Linked DNA regions of Drosophila melanogaster. Changing the gene in region 1 together with any one later gene gives a genetic interaction. Each region holds a gene or a part of one and is shown on either strand. Other genes may lie near its edges.

Region 1 (4,293 bases):
CTCTTTTTTTTCTGCGGAAAGTCGGGAAAATCAGTCAATGGAACGTCACGGCAGAGCAGCGACAGCGACGCCGGCAGCGACGCCAGCAGAAGCAGCGCAGCATCGGGGGCGTACTAAGTTCAATGAAATACAGGAGAATGCAGGGAAGCAAAGGAGATAGGAGAATGGGTAATGGGTGGAGTAAAATCAAAAACCAAAAAAAAAAAGTAAGAGAAAATACAAGAACAACTTCATAAACTGCAAATCTAATGTAATCATCTGCTGGAAATTAACGATTATTTCGTAAACTATAATCGTAAAATGTTATTGTTTAACATTAACGAATATATGTAATAAGACTTTTCCTCAGTAATGAAATATAAAATGCACTAGTTTTTGCTTACTTTTAGGTTCCTACTTAATGTCTTTTTAATGCTTCTGAAATTACCTAAAACTTTCTTCATTTGGTGAAGAACAAACAAACATAGCATGTATTTTCAACAGTCTGTCTTGATTTCATATACACCAAGATCTTAGATATTATTAACTTATTATTATGTTTTTATTATTTACTAACCTCTTCGACTTTCTGCTGCATTTTGATGAAAAGTTTTAGTTTGCTGTGGCTGCAAAAACTTTTTTTTCAACACTTAACAGAACAAAATTTAAAAAAAAAATGAAACGATAGTAAATGTTTCAACTGGAAAACATTCACGGGATCGTCTACTTAAAATTGCACTTCCAGTGTTTGTTGCAGAATTTCTCCTTTTCTTCTTTTCTCTGTTTATCGGCGGTTGCGCGCGCGCAAAAGGTGCAACGAAGAAAGGAAACAACCAAACAAACAGACGGATGAATGGGGAGTTGGAGTACGCGCGAAGAATAATTGTAAAATTGTGCAGAATTGCAGACTTGGAGGAACGACCAGCACGCAGAGCAATCGAAAACACAACTGGCGGCCAAAATGAAACGAGGAATGTGGAGTGCATAAAGCGGCCGACGATAACACAAACACAGCGGCAAAGCTTCGCGAGCAATCGATAAGCCTATCGAATATACCGAAGCGGAGTTGGTATGTTCCAGGGCTGGCGACAGTGCAGCTATCTAGCTAGATTTAGCTATCTCGCTTGAAATTGGATTTGAATCCATTCACCATTCTGAATTATTTCGTTTGGAAACAAAGCATTAATTATTATTTGTAAGTTATTAAATAAAAAATATACAACTTAAAAATGTTCAGTGCTAGCTGTGTAATGTATGTTTATTATTTCCAATCTAATTGACATTGTATTTGTGGCTATAATAAAATAAATGAATAAATTACAGTTTGTACAATTTAAATTTATAAAAATCTTATTGAGCAGCTAATATAATTTCGGCTATTTTCTAGCTATCATATTTCAAAGACAGTTATCGGCCTTCATGGTTGTCACGGCAACAATAGTTGGTTTTCGGTATATAATCGATTGGTTACCTGGGCAACGGTAATTCAAAAACCATAAACAAAACATAACAAAATGGAAAACAAACAAAGAAGGCCAGTCATTTACATTCTTTGAGGTTTGAATAAAGAAACTAAAAATTTACTGGGCAAAATAATCATCGGCGAATCATGCAAAAAAGCAGAGACATAAAGCGCACTGGAGTTTATCGCGTGAGCGGAAACATAGGAGATCTGCAATTGGAACTGAAGCTGCGACACATCAGTGAATGGCTGCCGGTCCCCAAATTTGAATACGCGGGAGCGCAATCGACGAACGCATATGGTGACCACTATCCCGGATCGGAGGAAGATATCTGGCAGGATTGCTATATTCATGTCCCCCAGGGCGATGATTCGTGTGGAGGGAAGACTGGCTTGGGCTACAACTGCAGTTATTATAATGTGGGAATTGGTTACACCGGCAGGAGACGAAGGAGTCCAATATCTCAGCATGAGGGGGAAATGGAAAAGGATAAGAACGAGGGAGAAATAACGGATCTGGAGTCCCAAAGTAATCGGTCGTGGAGCATTCTCAGTGATAATAGTCGTCCTCCCGCTGGTGATCTCTTCTATAAACGGAATAAGGAACTCTGCAATGGTGCTATAGCCACAATACGCATATCCTGGCAGCAAAAGCACTTTAGTCAAGCGGAACTGGAGCAATATATAAACAATCCTGGAAGTTGCGCTTCGAAACTACAGCGGCGCTATCACAGGTGGGCCTTGGAAACCTTGAAGCTACAACAGCGATATCTAAGGAAACTGGAGAATCTGGAAGATGCAGAGACGGTGGAGGATCCTGAGCCTATTACAATTCGTCGCCGGATACGAAAGCCCAAGGCGAAGCAGAGAGGCTGCTCTGCCGCAGCTCACCCGACTATTACCAGTCTGTCCTCGGCGAATATGTCGGAGGTTTCAATACTGGATGACCCCAATTTTGCCGCCAGAACGTGCCTCATACACACCTTATTGGATAATGATTCCGAGAGTCTTATGCCCGCCGAAGCAAGTGAATTCCATAAAAAGGGCTATCAGCTAATGTACATCTATGCCGATCTGCAGCAGGACACACTGTTGGTTAGTATACGATATGATCCCGAACAGGGTCTGCTCTATGTCTATCCGGATTTCAGTAGCAGTGCCCAGGATCTGGATTATGTGATTCAGATCGAGCGGAATAACGATTGCCGACAGTTGTATGCCTTTGGCTTTGAGAATGTCACACCGCTAGAGGCCTACGACGATGATGGTTTCTCTGAGGAGGCGGATGGCGAGGATGAGCAGGAACTGGGCGATGGTTTACCCATCGAAGAAGATCTGCCCGAAGAAGCCTCCGCCGAGGAGATACTCGAGTTTTATCGCAGACGGCGAGAAGCAGCCAGCGAGAGGAGAAGTCTCCTCCAGTTCGAAATGCCGCCCAAGAGGATGAAGCGGGTCAGCCTGCTGCTGGAACTACAGGAAGGCCAGAACTTTGAGAACCCCAACATACATGTAAGATACTATCTGAAAGCACCAGCAAATACCTTTTATGAGGGTACACCTGGGGTGGATACCATGCAGGGAGCGACGGCCACGTGCAGGAATGCCGGCGACTGGAGGAGTGCCCATTTGGGTCACTGCTGGCAGGTGACCCTGCTGCTGGAGGAACAACATCATCCGGCTGATCTACTGCATCTATATTTTGAAGTGATCAGCATAGATAGCTGGCAGCGGGAGCGATGTGAGGGATATGCTCACTATGCGATACCGTTAACATCCGCCCTGCCAACGGACTCCATACGGCTGCAGTGCATCCGACCACTGGGCAACTGGCTGGATGCCCTCAATCGGTATTTCATAGGCGGTCGTCAGCTGTTCGACTTTGAGTCCTTCTTCGATGTACATCGGCAATCGGAAATGCATTCCCGTTTGAACTTCAACTCTGACAGGCCAATGACCACCACGGGAACACTTTCGCTCCGGCTTCAAAAGCTTCAGCAGCGCCAAATAGACACATCTGATCAGTTCCATCACCACTTCCATCTGGAACTCGGCAACGATAGTAGCGACGATGGCGATAGCAATGATGACGATGTCAGATCCAGTTCAAATCCGGATACTTCGAGGGCCACCACTCTGGACGAAGTAATGGCCGCCTTTGTGGAGGCCAGGAAACGGATCGAGCTGCTCCTGGGAAATAGTTCAGAAACAGCCTCACCATCATCTGCATACTACCAGGCTGAGTTTTAAGCCCTTCAATGAGTACAATAATATGATGACAAATAATTTTTTTTTATATAAACTATAATATTTGTATAATTATTAGTAATTAATTATATTATGAAAGACGTATTTTTTTTTATGTATGAGTAAAAAACGTGAGAAGCATATGTATGTACATTTGATGTGGAATATTTTGGATAGATTATTTAAGAACGAGCTCAAAGAGGTATATATTCAGACACCTATTTAAAAAAAAACCGATAATATTAATTTCAAAAATCGGAAAAACGGTATTGGCAAAATTTCATACATTTTTCGATGGGAATTTTAATCATAATTTTGCTAATAATAATCATTAAGATGTAATGTAAACAGTTTTGGACAGCTAATTACCATTGCTAACGACCCCAATCACTTTTTGAGGGATTTAGGAAAATTTATTTTTGAGTCAATTTTCTCATTTTTTGTAAGGGGTAACATCATCAAAATTTGAAAAAAATAGCAAAAAAATAGAATTCCTTTTTTTTGACACAGTTTGATGGGAAATTTAATTACGAGCTCATTGAGGTATGACATTCAATATTCAGGCAATTATTTTTAAATTTGTGGCAAAAAAACGGATTATTTATTGA
Region 2 (6,203 bases), on another chromosome or scaffold:
ATGTCAAATTACTTATGAAGCGAGTTGGCAGCTCCGTGTCCAAGAGCAAACACTTATTTTTAAACATATCGATATAATGCAGCAGTTTAGTGCGCGGGAGAAGTATTTGGTGTCCAACACCTTAAATTGTTGGCCCGTGATGCTGCAGGGTCATTCCGTACTGATCGATCTGCACAACGAGACCTCTGTGGCCGGAATCATCGATGTAGCGGATGGACACATGACCTGCGAGCTCACCCATGCAGTTTTCATCGATCGCAATGGTGGTCAGCACCCCTTTGATCACTTTATGGTGCGGAATCGAATGATACGGCAGATCCACATACCTTCGTACTTGGATGCCGAGCAGGAACTTCGAAGCGCAATGGAACGGGGAGTCCTGCGAAGAAAGCGAGTGGAAACCAAGGGCGGAAAGCGGACATTCAAGCAAAAACGAGCGGAAGTGCGACACAAGGAAACATTGCAAATGATCTCACAGCAAAAAAAGAATAAGGAAACCTAAACTATTAATATATGCGTACTTGTTATATTTACCAAAAATACATTACATACATACAACTACATTTATAGTAATAAACCTATGAAAAGCAAAACAAATTAGCCCAATCAATTATACACAAAACATAGTCTCTAGCACGTTTATTTATTCCAAGAAATTCAAACGTATACAAACTGAATATCTTATATTCCCTTAATCAAAACTCTACTTAGCGGCCTGCTGCTTCAACTGCTCCTGGTACATGTAGTGCAGCTCCATGCAGTCGGTGTTGGAGATGTTTACCCAGCCGTCCTCCTTAATGTGATACACGCGAATGATACCACCGGAGTAGGCATCCCTGAAGGTGGCATGGTAGATGGCGCGACGTCCCAGCTCCTGGGCCTCCTTGTCCTCCAGGTCCCAATGATAGCCAGAGTCCAGGACACCGTAGGCGTACAGCGATCCACTACCAACAGAGAACAAATTGCCAGGCGTGCGAGATCCCTCGGAGTCCACATAGTAGAGGCCTGGACCACGCTTATCGTAACCGGCCAGCATCATGCCCATGCTCAGACCCATTCCCTTGTATTCGTGGGCAATGTTGGCCATTATCTTGCTGGCGGCGGCCACCGAGATGCGTTCCTTGTTTCGAAGCTCGTGAAGGCGGCATTCCTTCGAAAGGACCCTGTCCCAGTAAACGCAATCGGCTGCGCCACCGGCCAAGGTGCCCAGCATGAACTGATTGATCTCCACGATCTTCTTCATCGACTGGGAGCCAATGTACGATCCACCCGTGGCACGGGAATCGACTGCCAGGAGAACGCCGCCCTTGAACTTGAAGCCCAACGTTGTGGTGCCGTGATCGAAGTTGATTTTGACGCCGGTCTTGTCGCCATTGGCCTGGATCTGATTAAGGTTGTGCAGGGGCTGAGGAAATTGTCAAATTTTTTAGTAAATTTCCCAAGAAGATCAGCTAATTAACTACATACGTTCTCGAATGGCGGAGCAGCCAGTGTGTAGGGATTGGCCAGATTGCACATAAGCCCTTTTTGCTCTTCCTCCACATCCGCCGATGACCAGGCATTGGGCCGCATGTACGGAGCATTCGATATCTTGCAGATTTCAGCTAAAGCCATTCTTAAAGCTCCTTAAAAAACAATTGGAAACGTTGAATGCGAAATGCCGATGACAAACAAAATTCGTTGCCTACTTGTAGAGTGACCGTACTTCTGTTGGAGCAATAATGCAGACTATCGGCTTCACCGTTAGCTGTCGCAGGTACGGCAACCCAGCTCGAAACCTGTTGCCAATTTTGCCTGTGATTGGCTTTCTTTTAGTCTCTTTTTAGGCCTGGCTTGAAGCCAAATTAACTCTGGGCGTTCCATCAATCCATCAATGGCCAAATACTGCAAAGTCGGGTACTGAACAATAGTCGAAAGTAAACATGTGTAAATACGTGAGAGTGGCGAATTGCAATGCGTAAATTGCGGTCCAAAGACGGGATTTAAAATTAGTGAAAAGTAAGTCGGGAATCGAGAAAACCTAGGCGCACTTTAAACCTGGTTTTCAGGTCTAGAAATTTACTGTAATAGTGTTGAACATTTAAGAAACCATACATGTTTTATCAATGTGTTATAATGAAAGACATTTAATCTACCCTCAAAAAGGTTGTATTTCAAATTACGAGTCCTTTATTTGATCGCTTTTGGTAACTCCCACTTCTATTTGTAATGACAATTACTACGTGGTACGCCATTACGTGAGGCACACATACATGCGCATACACGGCTAGAAAATGTGCGATCGAAGATCAGATTCATTTGATCCCAGGTCAAGTTAAGCTCTTTCGTCGTCAACAAGGTTATATCAAAGAATACCATCTTTCATATGATTTTCGACATATAAACGATTCTAACGGTAATTACGGTACTTTAAGTAAGATTTTTCATTTATTAAAGACAAAATGTAGTTCTAATATAAATAATTTTTTTAATTTTATCTGGTTTTGATAAAGTGTTACTTAAAAAGTTATAATTGCAACACATCATGATAAATGAATGAAATTATAATTTAACAAATTTGATAAATAATGAATATTTTCGCAGACAATGCAGCATGGATCCTCCCGCATTCCGAAACAGGAAGCTCTCCCGAATGCGATATCCGGGGTAAGTAAGGGCACTTGCCTGAACCAACAAATCTTACACCGATGTAACTTCTTTTTCTGATTTAAGCCCGACTCCAGCAATTGGACTTCGCTGCACGAGGCGGTAGCCGCCGGAGATGATCGCCGGGTGGAGGGTCTCCTGTTCAGCAATGCTGATCGACTGGCCAGGGAATCCGTGCAGGGGAATACCCCGCTCCATGAGGCCGCCAGTCGGGGGTTCAGTCGCTGCGTGAAATTGATCTGCACGCCCCCCACGCCACCCGCTTCCTCGGGGGTGGGAAAAGCAGCAAAGGGACAGAAGGACAAAGACAAGGATAAGAACAAGGGCAGAGTGAAGGTGGCCCACCAGACCATCGAAGCCCTACACAATAGCGCCCTGGGTATTGCCAACAACGAAGGGTTGTCCGCCCTGCACTTGGCCGCTCAAAATGGTCACAATCAGAGCTCTAGGGAGCTACTGCTGGCCGGCGCCGATCCCGATGTCCGGAATAATGTAAGTGTTGGATCATATCAGTGATAACCATGTTTAACATGTTTAACAATTTCAGTATGGAGATACTCCGCTGCACACCGCCTGCAGATATGGACATGCAGGAGTCTCCCGGATCCTGCTCTCCGCCCTTTGCGATCCGAATAAAACAAATCTGAACGGCGACACCGCTTTGCACATCACCTGTGCCATGGGTCGCAGGAAGCTGACAAGGATTCTCCTAGAGGCAGATGCTCGGCTGGGCATTAAAAACGCACAAGGCGACTGCCCCATGCACATAGCGATCAGGAAGAACTACCGTGAAATCATCGAGATCCTGAACACGCCGAAGAAGATACGGAATCGCAAGGAGAAACCCAAGGAGGGCGGCAGCAGATCGGACAAGGACAGAGATCGTGAAAGGGATGTGGTGGACAAGGGTATCAACTGGTCACCCTATGGCTGTCACTACTTTCCCGATCCGCGTGCCTTTCCTTCACCAAAACTGGAGACACTGCCCAAGGAGCCACTTAAGTCGGGGGAGCAATACTTCCTGGATTTGGCTGGTCATATTCACAAGGGTCCGGTCAGCGTGGGCAACACATGCTATTGCGGTCCCTTCTTCCGTCACATTGAAAACAAACTAAATTGCAATCGAAAGAGTTTGAAGAAATACGTTCACAAAACCAAGGAACGTCTAGGTCACAAAGTTCAGGCATTGGCAATCAAGACGAACGATCAGATTGAACAGCTCACAAGAACGATGATCGAGGACAGATTGCGATGCGAGAGCAAGAGGCAGCACCTCAGTGAGTTCCTGCGACGAGGTGAACCTATGCGGTCCACCTTCGATCAGCAGAACAAGAGCTCAAGGATCGAAAGAACAATGTCCAGGTGCCGCAGTCTAGAGCTCTTGGAAAACAACCACGAAGGTGGTAGGCTCACCAACTCACGGAGTGTAGATGTCCTGGAAGATCAGGCAGTGGAGGCTATAGTACACCGATCAGCGGAGGTCCAGGTGGATAGCGACAGCGATGACGATTCCAATGAAGCTCGGGATGAAGAAGAGGCAGAAGTGGGTGACAAGGACCAGGTGCAAGAAGAGGCGGAACCAGAGGAGCACTCGAAGCTAGATGAACTTAAGCTAGATTTCCTAAAAGTCTCCGAAAGACTGGGAGTGCTTTTAGAGAAAACCACCCTGATCATGGAAAGGGACAGCGAACAGGAGAGCAAGCGCCAGCTTTCTTCCTTATCGCCACCTTATAATCCCCATCCAAGGGCGGAGTCTGCCCAACTTCGAGAAGATAAAGAGAGTGTTAATAGTCCCAATTTCGACGAGTACGCCAACGTGATACGACGCTATCCGAACTCCAGTGAGACCTCAAATCCCTCCCAGAACTCCAACAGCTGGGACTGGGAGGCATCACCCACGGGCAGCAATCCCCACCCGGATTACAATAAGTACTACCAGCGCATTGGGAGAGGAGAGAACATGCTGAACTCGGTGATCAAGGCGCTTCGAAAAGATGCCTCCTTCGCGGATCTGGGCAAAGAGGAGACGGCTGTCAATGAAACTGCCGAGGGAATGGGAGGCGACAAGCTGCTCTACAAGGAGCAAGCGAGCGAGGCGGCAGGTATCTCCAATCTGATGAAACGGCAGCCTCTTTGCTTGGAAGACAACTATCCCGTCATGTCGAATTTATTTTACTCCAATCCCATCATGGAGTACGCCGAGGAAACAGAAGTGCGTCAAAATGGCAATGAAAGTATGAGTAAGGTGGAGATTCGGAACAGTGAAATCAAGTGCCTAAAGAAGCCGAACGCTGGTCAGGTGAGGGATATGGTGGCCCAACTGCAAAACACCATTGACTCCAATCGACAGGACTCCCAGACGGCACATGTGATCGCCGCAAGATCACACTCCCGCTTGAACAATAACTTCCATCACTTGGAGGGCACCTCTTCGAACCCTTCGCCCACGTATAGTATTCCCCACCGGAGTAGCGCCCAGTTTGGGCTGCCCGAGAGACACATACCCAAAGATGCTTACTTCCATGAACTGCCCCACCGTCCACCGATTCCGCAAACTCCGCAGAGAAGGCTGCACTCCGGCTACGTACCAAATGCGAGTCTCTATCGCAGTGAAGATCTTTACGTGGGAAGGATTCCACATCCAAATGCTCCACCAAGACAAGTGGACTACGTGGATGCGGTAGCCTATAGGCCTCTGCAGTCCCCCACCTTTCAGGCCATTGTGCCGCCCCATGTTAATCAAAGGCCAAGGAACTGGCCTCATCCCAATCTTCCATCCAATGAAATCGATCTGGACGAGCTGTCTGCCGTTGGCCTCTACAACAATGTCTCGAGTCTAGTTTGAGTTCGGTAATCCCACAGCTGTTCCCATTGTACATAGCTAATCCCTACATATTTATCTTAATTGTAATCAAGTTTTAAACTACAAAGAAAAGTTAACTTATTTTCAACTGATGCATCTAATCTGGAGGGTCTAAAATATATAAATATAATACAAAGATATATGTACAATAATTTTGTTGTTTTTTGTTGAGGAGTTTTGGGTCTGAGTGTTTTCATATTCTGCGTAATTTATGAGAATATCGTGTACTTAATTATTTGGTTATTCCACTTTTGACCCCAAAAATACCCAAAATATTAAAAACGTTCCAACCTGCTCGCTTGTAAATCAAACGCAACCGAATGTTTTCGATCAAAATATATTTTTCTTTAAAAATGTTTAATAATAGTATTTATGCATGTGTAAATATCAGAATGTCAAGTACATATATTTATTGATAACAGATCATTTTGGTGTTTTGATAGACATGCGGCTTATGAACTCTGTATAATTGTGTAAACGAAATCAACCAGGAAATCATCTCAATAATCGAGCTCCGATGTTTGGTGGGAATTCAAAAAAACCAAATCCCCACCGCTGACAAAAGTAAACAAGTAAATTGGGCAACATTTTGATATCGTTCACCAATATGTCTGCGGTATTGTTAGTACAATTTTAGCAAGTGCCTAATGATGATTTCTCGATGTCTTCGTAGTTAATTTAAAATTCTATAAAT

Evidence for each region. Genes that interact genetically often act in the same process or in processes that back each other up.
Region 2: of Mks1 (region 1) and dgo, changing one enhances a phenotype caused by changing the other (phenotypic enhancement), as found in Drosophila melanogaster (one study listed by BioGRID).

What each region holds. Positions count from the first base shown.
Region 1 is NC_004354.4:12,493,857-12,498,149, reverse strand, and holds Mks1 (meckel syndrome, type 1), read left to right. Parts: upstream 1-1,552; 5' UTR 1,553-1,588; coding exon 1,589-3,688; 3' UTR 3,689-3,755; downstream 3,756-4,293. Other genes in the region: mdu (meduse), read right to left, coding at 557-577. UniProt on the Drosophila melanogaster protein: Probable component of the tectonic-like complex (also named MKS complex), a complex localized at the transition zone of primary cilia. Required for ciliary structure and function.
Region 2 is NT_033778.4:10,815,484-10,821,686, reverse strand, and holds dgo (diego), read left to right. Parts: upstream 1-1,802; 5' UTR 1,803-2,395; intron 2,396-2,583; 5' UTR 2,584-2,586; coding exon 2,587-2,646; intron 2,647-2,712; coding exon 2,713-3,138; intron 3,139-3,193; coding exon 3,194-5,491; 3' UTR 5,492-5,650; downstream 5,651-6,203. Other genes in the region: Lsm10, read left to right, coding at 77-502; Prosbeta5 (proteasome beta5 subunit), read right to left, coding at 704-1,405, 1,468-1,614.